Mytilus edulis: one gene and its partner. The protein of the gene in region 2 purifies or fractionates together with the protein of the main gene of each other region. This does not show direct contact. Links are inferred from orthologs where the notes say so. Each region holds a gene or a part of one and is shown on either strand. Other genes may lie near its edges. The genes, in order: ubiquitin-associated domain-containing protein 1-like and E3 ubiquitin-protein ligase RNF123-like.

Region 1 (3,940 bases), on a different chromosome or scaffold from region 2:
TTCAAGTTTAGAATTATTGGGGAATTTAAACCATCTTTTCATTATGATACATGTATATATAATGTATTTTCAAGGCCGTAACTAGGCATCTTATTTTAGTGAGGCAAAATAATTGAGCCGAGCGAAGCGAGGCGTTAAATTTTTTTGGAGGGTATGAAATGAATGGTGCAAAATCCTGCGTTCTAGGCATTTTTAGAGAGTTTGATAATGTTTTGAATTTGGACAGTTTTTATATAAATTGTTCATATTTAAAGACTTTTACTAATACCAAATTTTTAACAACTTTATTTGAATTTGTATGTAAGATAATCATCCAAATATCAATTTAAATCTGCCGCCAGAACATAGAACAAACATCGATTCAGTAGAGTTTGCCAATTATTTCTATGGTGGGTTCAGTCAAATTGTTTTAGAATCATAACTTTGGTCTGCTGATATCCTTATCGCGATGAACATGGAGCATGGCAAGTCCGCACAACCTCTCGCCACTCATGTATGCTCTTTTCCTAGATTTCAGTCGTTTCAGGGCAGTCTGTGTTTCTCAAGGTAGCACATTATCATCAACACAATGATCAATGTCTTCTTCCAATTCCTTCTCCATCAGCAATTCGGTAGCAGCATCGGTAGTAACAGTTTTGTTTGCAAAAGGGAATTAAGCTTTCCTATAAAGGCTAGCATCATCATACAGTCTCAGTTACAAAATATTAAACTCGCTTGTATGCTGACAAAGAGTAAACAAACTAGGGATAGAATGAGATAAGATACATGTATATGATCTATCTATAGAGTAAGTATATATGATATGGGTACAGGGGAATTAAAATGGAGTTTTGACGTTTACATGTAGGTCCGTAATTTCAAATTATTTCTGGAAATAGTCGGTGGTATTTTAGTTCCAGAATCTATAAATTTAGGGGTTAGGGGTTGGGGGTGTCTGATTCCGAAACCCCGAATATAAAGAAATGAAATTCCGTAGTCCCGAATAAGTAAAGACAAAATCCTGTGATAAAGGTTCTATACCATTCCTCAATAATGTCAAATTGGAATATGGGATGTTCTTTCAATTTTTAAGGTTAGAGAAACATGGATCATGAAAAACTAATCCATGCATGTTTCATATTATTTATATTTTATTTATCTGTAAAGAGAAAGATTAAAGTTGAAGAAACGGAGAAATGAATACACAGACAGGACTGCCCCCTTGCGATGCCCACTACTTGATTTGTCAGTCTACTTATCGTTTTTGGATTGTGCTAATGAAGTTATATGCAATACGCAGACTACGTTCACAAACAAATTAGTTTACTAGAATTATTCCTTCTTTACCTTCAGTGTCGCTTTTCCTTTTTCTGCAAGAGCCTGTTTTTAACCAGAGATCCATGATGATTATCGTTACTAGGTTAATGTAATTGAGAAACATCACCCGTTGAGATGCTGAGTTATATCCAGGAAGAATAGTTTAAAGGAATGATGACAAGTTATAGAAATTAAGGTTGAGACAGAACAACAAAAGACTATTTTATTTGTATATATGTATAAAAAAAAATAATCAGTGTCGAAATTTTAGTGAGGCAATTGCCTCACTTGCCTCAAGGGTAGTTACGGCCTTGATTTTCAAGAAATAACACATTCTAACTTGGATGTTTTATAGTATAATAAATTCTCAAATGAATGAGAAAAAAAATATCAATTTGAATTCTTAAATTCAATTTGTAAACCAATCGAAATCTTGTGTTTTAAAATATATATTTTTTTTATCATTTTTTGTTTTAAATACTATAAGCATGTAAACAATATTTTAAAATCAATAAGCACTGCCATCCTATTCCTTTTTAATTGATTTATTAATTAGTTTCACTCATTGAAATAACCTTTTTTTTGTTGGAAATTGACAACTTCACCTTCCTCTACCCTCTTACTTTGATAACTTTCCCTAAAACAATATAATTAATGGTTTAATTGCAAAAAAATCAAAAAAATTCTATCAAATCAACTGTTCAGATAAGAAAGCTTGACCGAGGTTATGTCCGACAACACATGCTGCTATCAAATGTTTACACATGTGGCAAATTGACCACATGTGATTGGTCAATTAACTGATGATTGGCAGGAGAATGGATAGGTGTATTGGTTTTGTGTTTAATAACTATAGCTTTGTAATCAAGTTTTGGCAAGTGTATTCTTATATTTGTTGTCATTGTCTCAAAATTTTGTGTTGAATACATTTTAATCATGTTTTGGATATAAGTGTATTGTCAGAGACATATAATACAATTATTATATGTATTATAAATGTCACAGGTATTGTTAAAAAAATAAATCTTTCTAAATAAAGTGGGATTCTGTCAACGTTTTATTTTTTTGTGTTAATAAATTTTTATCATGTTTTGGTTATAATAGTGTATTGCTATATTTTATTGTTTCAGATCAAAGGGACCAAGCTGTTAAAAACAATTATCTTTTGTTCATTTAAAATCTTGAATGTTTTACTTACACCAAAGCAATTTTATAATTTTATAACAACAATCACGATTTTCCAATTATTCAACTGGAATTTAAATTAAAATTGGGCGCGAACGTGTAGGGTGCGAAAGTGTATTGGGTGCGAAAGTGTATTGGGCGCGAACGAACCTGATACCTAAATGTACTTAGTATTTATGAAATTCTTAATGACTAAATTTGAATCAAACAGAAATTACCACAATATGACATAGGATGAGACAACAAAAGTTGACCATGTACATGTAGTAAGAGGTACACGACTTAAAAATGTTTTGAAATTCGAATATTTTTGCCGTTTGCATTTAATAGAGGTGATTTATTCTTATCACACATTACCATTTTCTTTTACTCCTTCTTCTGATATCGTTTTCTCTTCAGATAACACCTGACCAGTTCTTGCGAGTAAAACCTTGTGGTACAACGAAGTTTTAATGCTTTCTGCTGGGTCATTAAAGTGACTTAAAGACATTATTTTTAGTTCGTCAATCTTTATATTTGAGTTCAGGTCGATCACATAGTTACGTCCATCCATATGGCAAATCCTTATTCTCATCCCCTTTGAAGGGAAGATATTAGAATCTGAGACATACATGATAATTAAAGTATCATGAATGAAATAAGACGTATCTTGATTTTTGTTTATAGCGGAAATAGCTCAACGAAAGAAGTTAGAAATCAATGCTGGATAAGAACTGTTTCTCATCCGCGTTTTCTCTGAATCAGACTTCAGTTTTTAAGAAAGACAGTTGTGAAAAAGGATGAGTGCCATGATGGCAGTGCTAGTAGTTATATTGTGTGTGTGTTTGTTTTGATTAAAATTAACGTCTTTGGATCAATAAAATACATCGATATTTGAAATTTGATATTTTTTTCTGCAACCCGCATAGAAAGGTGAAAAATCCTTTAAGACATAGCTATACCCCCCCCCCCCCCAAAAAAAAACCAAAAAAAATACAACGACATCACGAGGCCCATAGATGCATGTAATACCTACATATATGATGAGCATTATACAGTTCTACTAATGAGGGTCTGATTCACTAAAAGTCATTTTTTTTTTGTGTTTAAAAGATATAGATATTTCGTTCACTTTTTGCTGTAATAAAACCGAATCCAAATATCAACTGAATCGAATACGAAATGCAGCATGCCATTAGGTATTGGAGATTTTATTGATATTTGTTGACTAGTTTATGATATTTTTTTAGATTTATGACACTAGTGACTGCACAAATCAATTCATATCCAACATTCAGTCAGTATAGATCGAGAAAATGACTGAGTATCTTTGTTGCTTCTCAGTATTGCGTCATCATTTTATTTGCTATTAGGGTATGACCATTTGATTATCGGAGCCAGCGGTGCCAGGGGGGGGTCTTCAAATTGACTGAATATTCTGACCTGGTACGAATAGAAATAACTGAGGGTTTGGATGGGG
Region 2 (3,940 bases):
TAGCCCTTCCGGCCAGGTGAGCTTAAAATGCAAACTTTATCTATAGAACTAAAATATCATATAATTCAGAATACATTGCATAAATATCCTTTATAATTTAACTAACACAAAATTTATACAGAGTTATTTTATTTGAGTTCTTATTCTACCTTCTGAACCAGTATCCTGATCTTGTTCTGATCTGACATATATCCCTCCCTTGTATGCTGCTTCAGCCATTTTCACCTGTAAATAAAAGGTATCAAAATCAGACAACTATATTATCATGCACAATTCAATATGTGAATAAGCTGCTTTACTGATCGTGCTTAAATTTTATAGTGAAAGGCTTAAGAAAGATTCAAACAGCTAACACACAAGCTTAACATTATCATCTATCCCTATGTGTGTCAATGTCAGATGCACTTTGACATGTACAATTGTAAACCTTGAATACTTTAATTCATACACTAAACAGTGGCAGGTTGAGATCAACAAAATCGTTTATAACATTTATTGCTACTGAGTCTGATTATCTAGAGCTGCGATTTATTCACAGCTTAATTTGACTTCTCAAACCCCAGCTTCAACATAAAGTTACATGCATGATTTATGAAAACTTAATCATGATGAGTGTATACATAGTATTTAAATCTGTGTAATGTTCATTACTGTAACTACATTTACATGCTTATCAGCTGTTTTCTGCTCTTTGGTCAGGTTGTTGTCTCTTTGACCTCTATACCTCATTTCCATTCCCATTTAAAAAAATTGTCTTTTTAATTTTATACAATATTGCAGGTTTAAGATGGATTGACATGTAAAAAATATGCTGATAGGGAAAGAAATGCATGACCATCTAAAATCAGTCTTTAAAGAAATGGTACAGAAAGAGCAAGGACTTTATCCAACAACAATTTAACTATTTTTTCAATAATATAAAGAAATAATTTTTTTAAAACTGAATGACAAAAAATTTGTCTAAAAAATCCTTCTTTCAATTATCATGAATAAATTGGAATGTACATGAAAGTGGTTTATAGTTGAGAGAAAAATGGGCAAACAAGTAAAGATTAGAAGAAAAAAAGAGACAGAAAAATGTAGAAAACAGTTTAAAGGGGTGATGAACAGTAAAGAATAGAAAACCCTGGGCAAGAAAATAAGAATAGAGCAAATTGGTTAAAAAATATATAAAAGATATAGATAGACAGACCGTGCAACTGCAAGGGCTGTATAGCCAATCAAGGTCATTAAAAACTTCCTCGTTCTCTTTTTCTCAGAACCACTGGCCACTACTACCCATACTGGCATTTAATATATATAGAGAGACAATTATTCAATTTGAATTTCATGGTTGCCCCGAGACATATATCAACACCTCACAGTCATGTCACACACTTAAACTAACTATAGTTGACCTATGGCTTATAGTACATGTATCTGAATGTTGACCAATAAACCATGATATGACATGAAAATGAGGTCAAGCCATGTTCAAATGAACCCAGTCAAACTGATATTGTACATGTCATGTACACCTTTCAATATAAAAAAGAAGCTGTGGTATGATTGGTAATGTGACAAATCCCCACAAGAGACCAAATGACAAAGAAATTAACAACTATAGTTCACGGTACGGCCATTAACAATGAGCAAATCCCATTACACATAGTCATGCAGCTATAACATTTTATTTAAACAAGAAAACTACTGGCCTAATTTATGTACTAAATAACGAACAAAATTCAAACTTTAGTGTAGACCTGTTGCAATTAGTATCCAAGATATATAGTCTCAAACACAAACACTTAGTTAAAATTAATCTCTGGTCAATGACATGTTGAATAGACATTAGTCTATTGACATTTTTATTTTTAATTGCTTTGATGTTGATCTTTTTTGCACCAATTGTTTTAAAGAATGGTTGTGATCATTGTATGTATAATGAATATTATTATTTATTTTAGCTTTGGGCACTATGAGCATGATGAGAAATTAAATACTATCCTTTATATGAAGACTGTATATTGACTATTGTCCCTTAATTTTCTTTTCACCGGATTGTGGTGTTTTTGATTATATGTCATATGATATCTTTGGACAGATTGGGGACAACCCGCCAAATGGGGTCGTTCATTTGAGTTACCATTTGGTAGTGCTAAAAAACTAAATTTTCGTAACTGAGAATTTTATTTAAAATGGCACATACTCATCGAAAATCTCGATTTACTGAGAAGTTACAAGCCTACGAAAACTTGGAAAACCTGATCCCTCCTTATTTTGTTTTGCAGTCACCCTATTTTTGTTTTGTTTTGCAGGCACACTTAACATGCAAAATATCAAATGTTGGCCTAATTTAATCAAAATACATCACGTCGTCTGCTAAACTGTAACACTAACAGTAATTTTGTTTGGACTTTAAATATATCACAACTTTACGACGCAAATTTACTAAATAATGGAAAACTATTTGTCAACATACAACTATAAGATGTGGCTTGATAAATATCAAGTTGTCATAAGTCTATTCATTTTAAAATATTCTTGCAGAGATCACCCTATTTTTGTTTTGTTTTGGTACACTTGACCAGTGATTTGAACCAGGAAGTGCCTAACAACTCAAATTTATTTAACCGGAAATGGTTACGTCTGAAGTACTATTTTCAAATCCATTTCAGCATAAATATTCGACTTGCAAAGAACAAACCATTTTAAGGATCAGAATAAAATTGAACTAAGGATGTTAATCTATCTATTGCAAAGACAAAAAATAAGAAAATATCAAATATTATAATGCTTTTGAGATTACTACGCGTGGGAGGCCATTTTCGCCGGTGTGTGTATTTATCAGCAGATTGAAACCATTCTCACGAAGAATATTCACAATGGATGAAGAATATGATGTTATTGTTCTTGGAACAGGACTAAAGGTATAAGCGTTTGCTAAGCAAATAGATAAGACGTGTAAAAAGACATAAATTCTTGTAATAAATGTCGTTATCAGAAAACAGTCTATCATCAGTCTTGTGTGATGTCATCACTGAAATTATCATGTGTTTTGGTTACAATACACAAAATGAAATGTACAATTTGCTAGATATATTATATTGATCAATCTAATTGCGAAAATGTTCAGAATCCGTTTAATAATAAACTAGCGCTAATAAAGCTGCGGAGTCTGATCTGCCGACATACATTTGGTGTATTGATTTTTGTAAGCTTCAGTAATTAGAAGCCCTTTTATACTCTGATTTATGTATAAAATGTTATAGGCCTGTTAAATATGTCAGTTAAAGCTTGATATAAATAAATTTCGAATGTCTCTTAACATTATTTTTTTTTAATTAAAAGCCACACCCCCTTACTCTATATTGTCACAAATCAAATAATCAATACATTCCATGTATAAGAGTCAGCATCTTTATGGTTTACTTTTATAAGGAGTTATTCAATAAACAGCTGACACTTCTGATTTAAGTTGACACAGACTTAAATCTGGTTAAGATCAAGTGGACATTGTCATGATTGTCATAAAAATAAAACAAGTTATCAATAACAAAAAGTAAAAACACAAAAATACTGAACTCCGAGGAAAATTCAAAAAGGAAAATCAAAAATCAAAAGGCAAAATCAAAAGTCCAAACACATCAAACGAATGGATAACAACTGTCATATTCCTGACTTGGTACAGGCATTTTCTAATGTAGAAAATGGTGGATTGAACCTGGTTTTATAGCTAGCTAAACCTCTCACTTGTATGACAGTCGCAATTTTATGTCCAAATTAACATAAAATAACATGAATTTAATAGACAATATTAATTTGAACTAGTTCATTTGCATTAAATGGTTATTGCATACAGTATTGAGACAATTAACTGACAAAAAAATATTAGAGTGACATTGGTATTTAGTACTATTTACAGAGGAAAAAGACCACATAGCTCGCTGCTGTGTATTGA

Evidence for each region.
Region 1: the proteins of E3 ubiquitin-protein ligase RNF123-like (region 2) and ubiquitin-associated domain-containing protein 1-like purify together in Homo sapiens (affinity purification with mass spectrometry; 7 studies listed by BioGRID and IntAct, counting the BioPlex papers as one, with this or other methods). This does not show direct contact. The link is inferred for Mytilus edulis from reciprocal best matches to the Homo sapiens genes RNF123 and UBAC1.

The regions. Positions count from the first base shown.
Region 1 is NC_092345.1:75,269,397-75,273,336, forward strand, and holds the start of ubiquitin-associated domain-containing protein 1-like, read right to left. Parts: upstream 3,169-3,940; 5' UTR 3,095-3,168; coding exon 2,839-3,094; intron 1-2,838.
Region 2 is NC_092344.1:2,885,868-2,889,807, forward strand, and holds the start of E3 ubiquitin-protein ligase RNF123-like, read right to left. Parts: upstream 2,628-3,940; 5' UTR 2,462-2,627; exon of another isoform or gene 2,411-2,461; intron 256-2,410; exon of another isoform or gene 226-255; 5' UTR 220-225; coding exon 150-219; intron 1-149. Other genes in the region: rab GDP dissociation inhibitor beta-like, read left to right, coding at 2,865-2,909. UniProt on the Homo sapiens protein: Catalytic subunit of the KPC complex that acts as E3 ubiquitin-protein ligase. Promotes the ubiquitination and proteasome-mediated degradation of CDKN1B which is the cyclin-dependent kinase inhibitor at the G0-G1 transition of the cell cycle.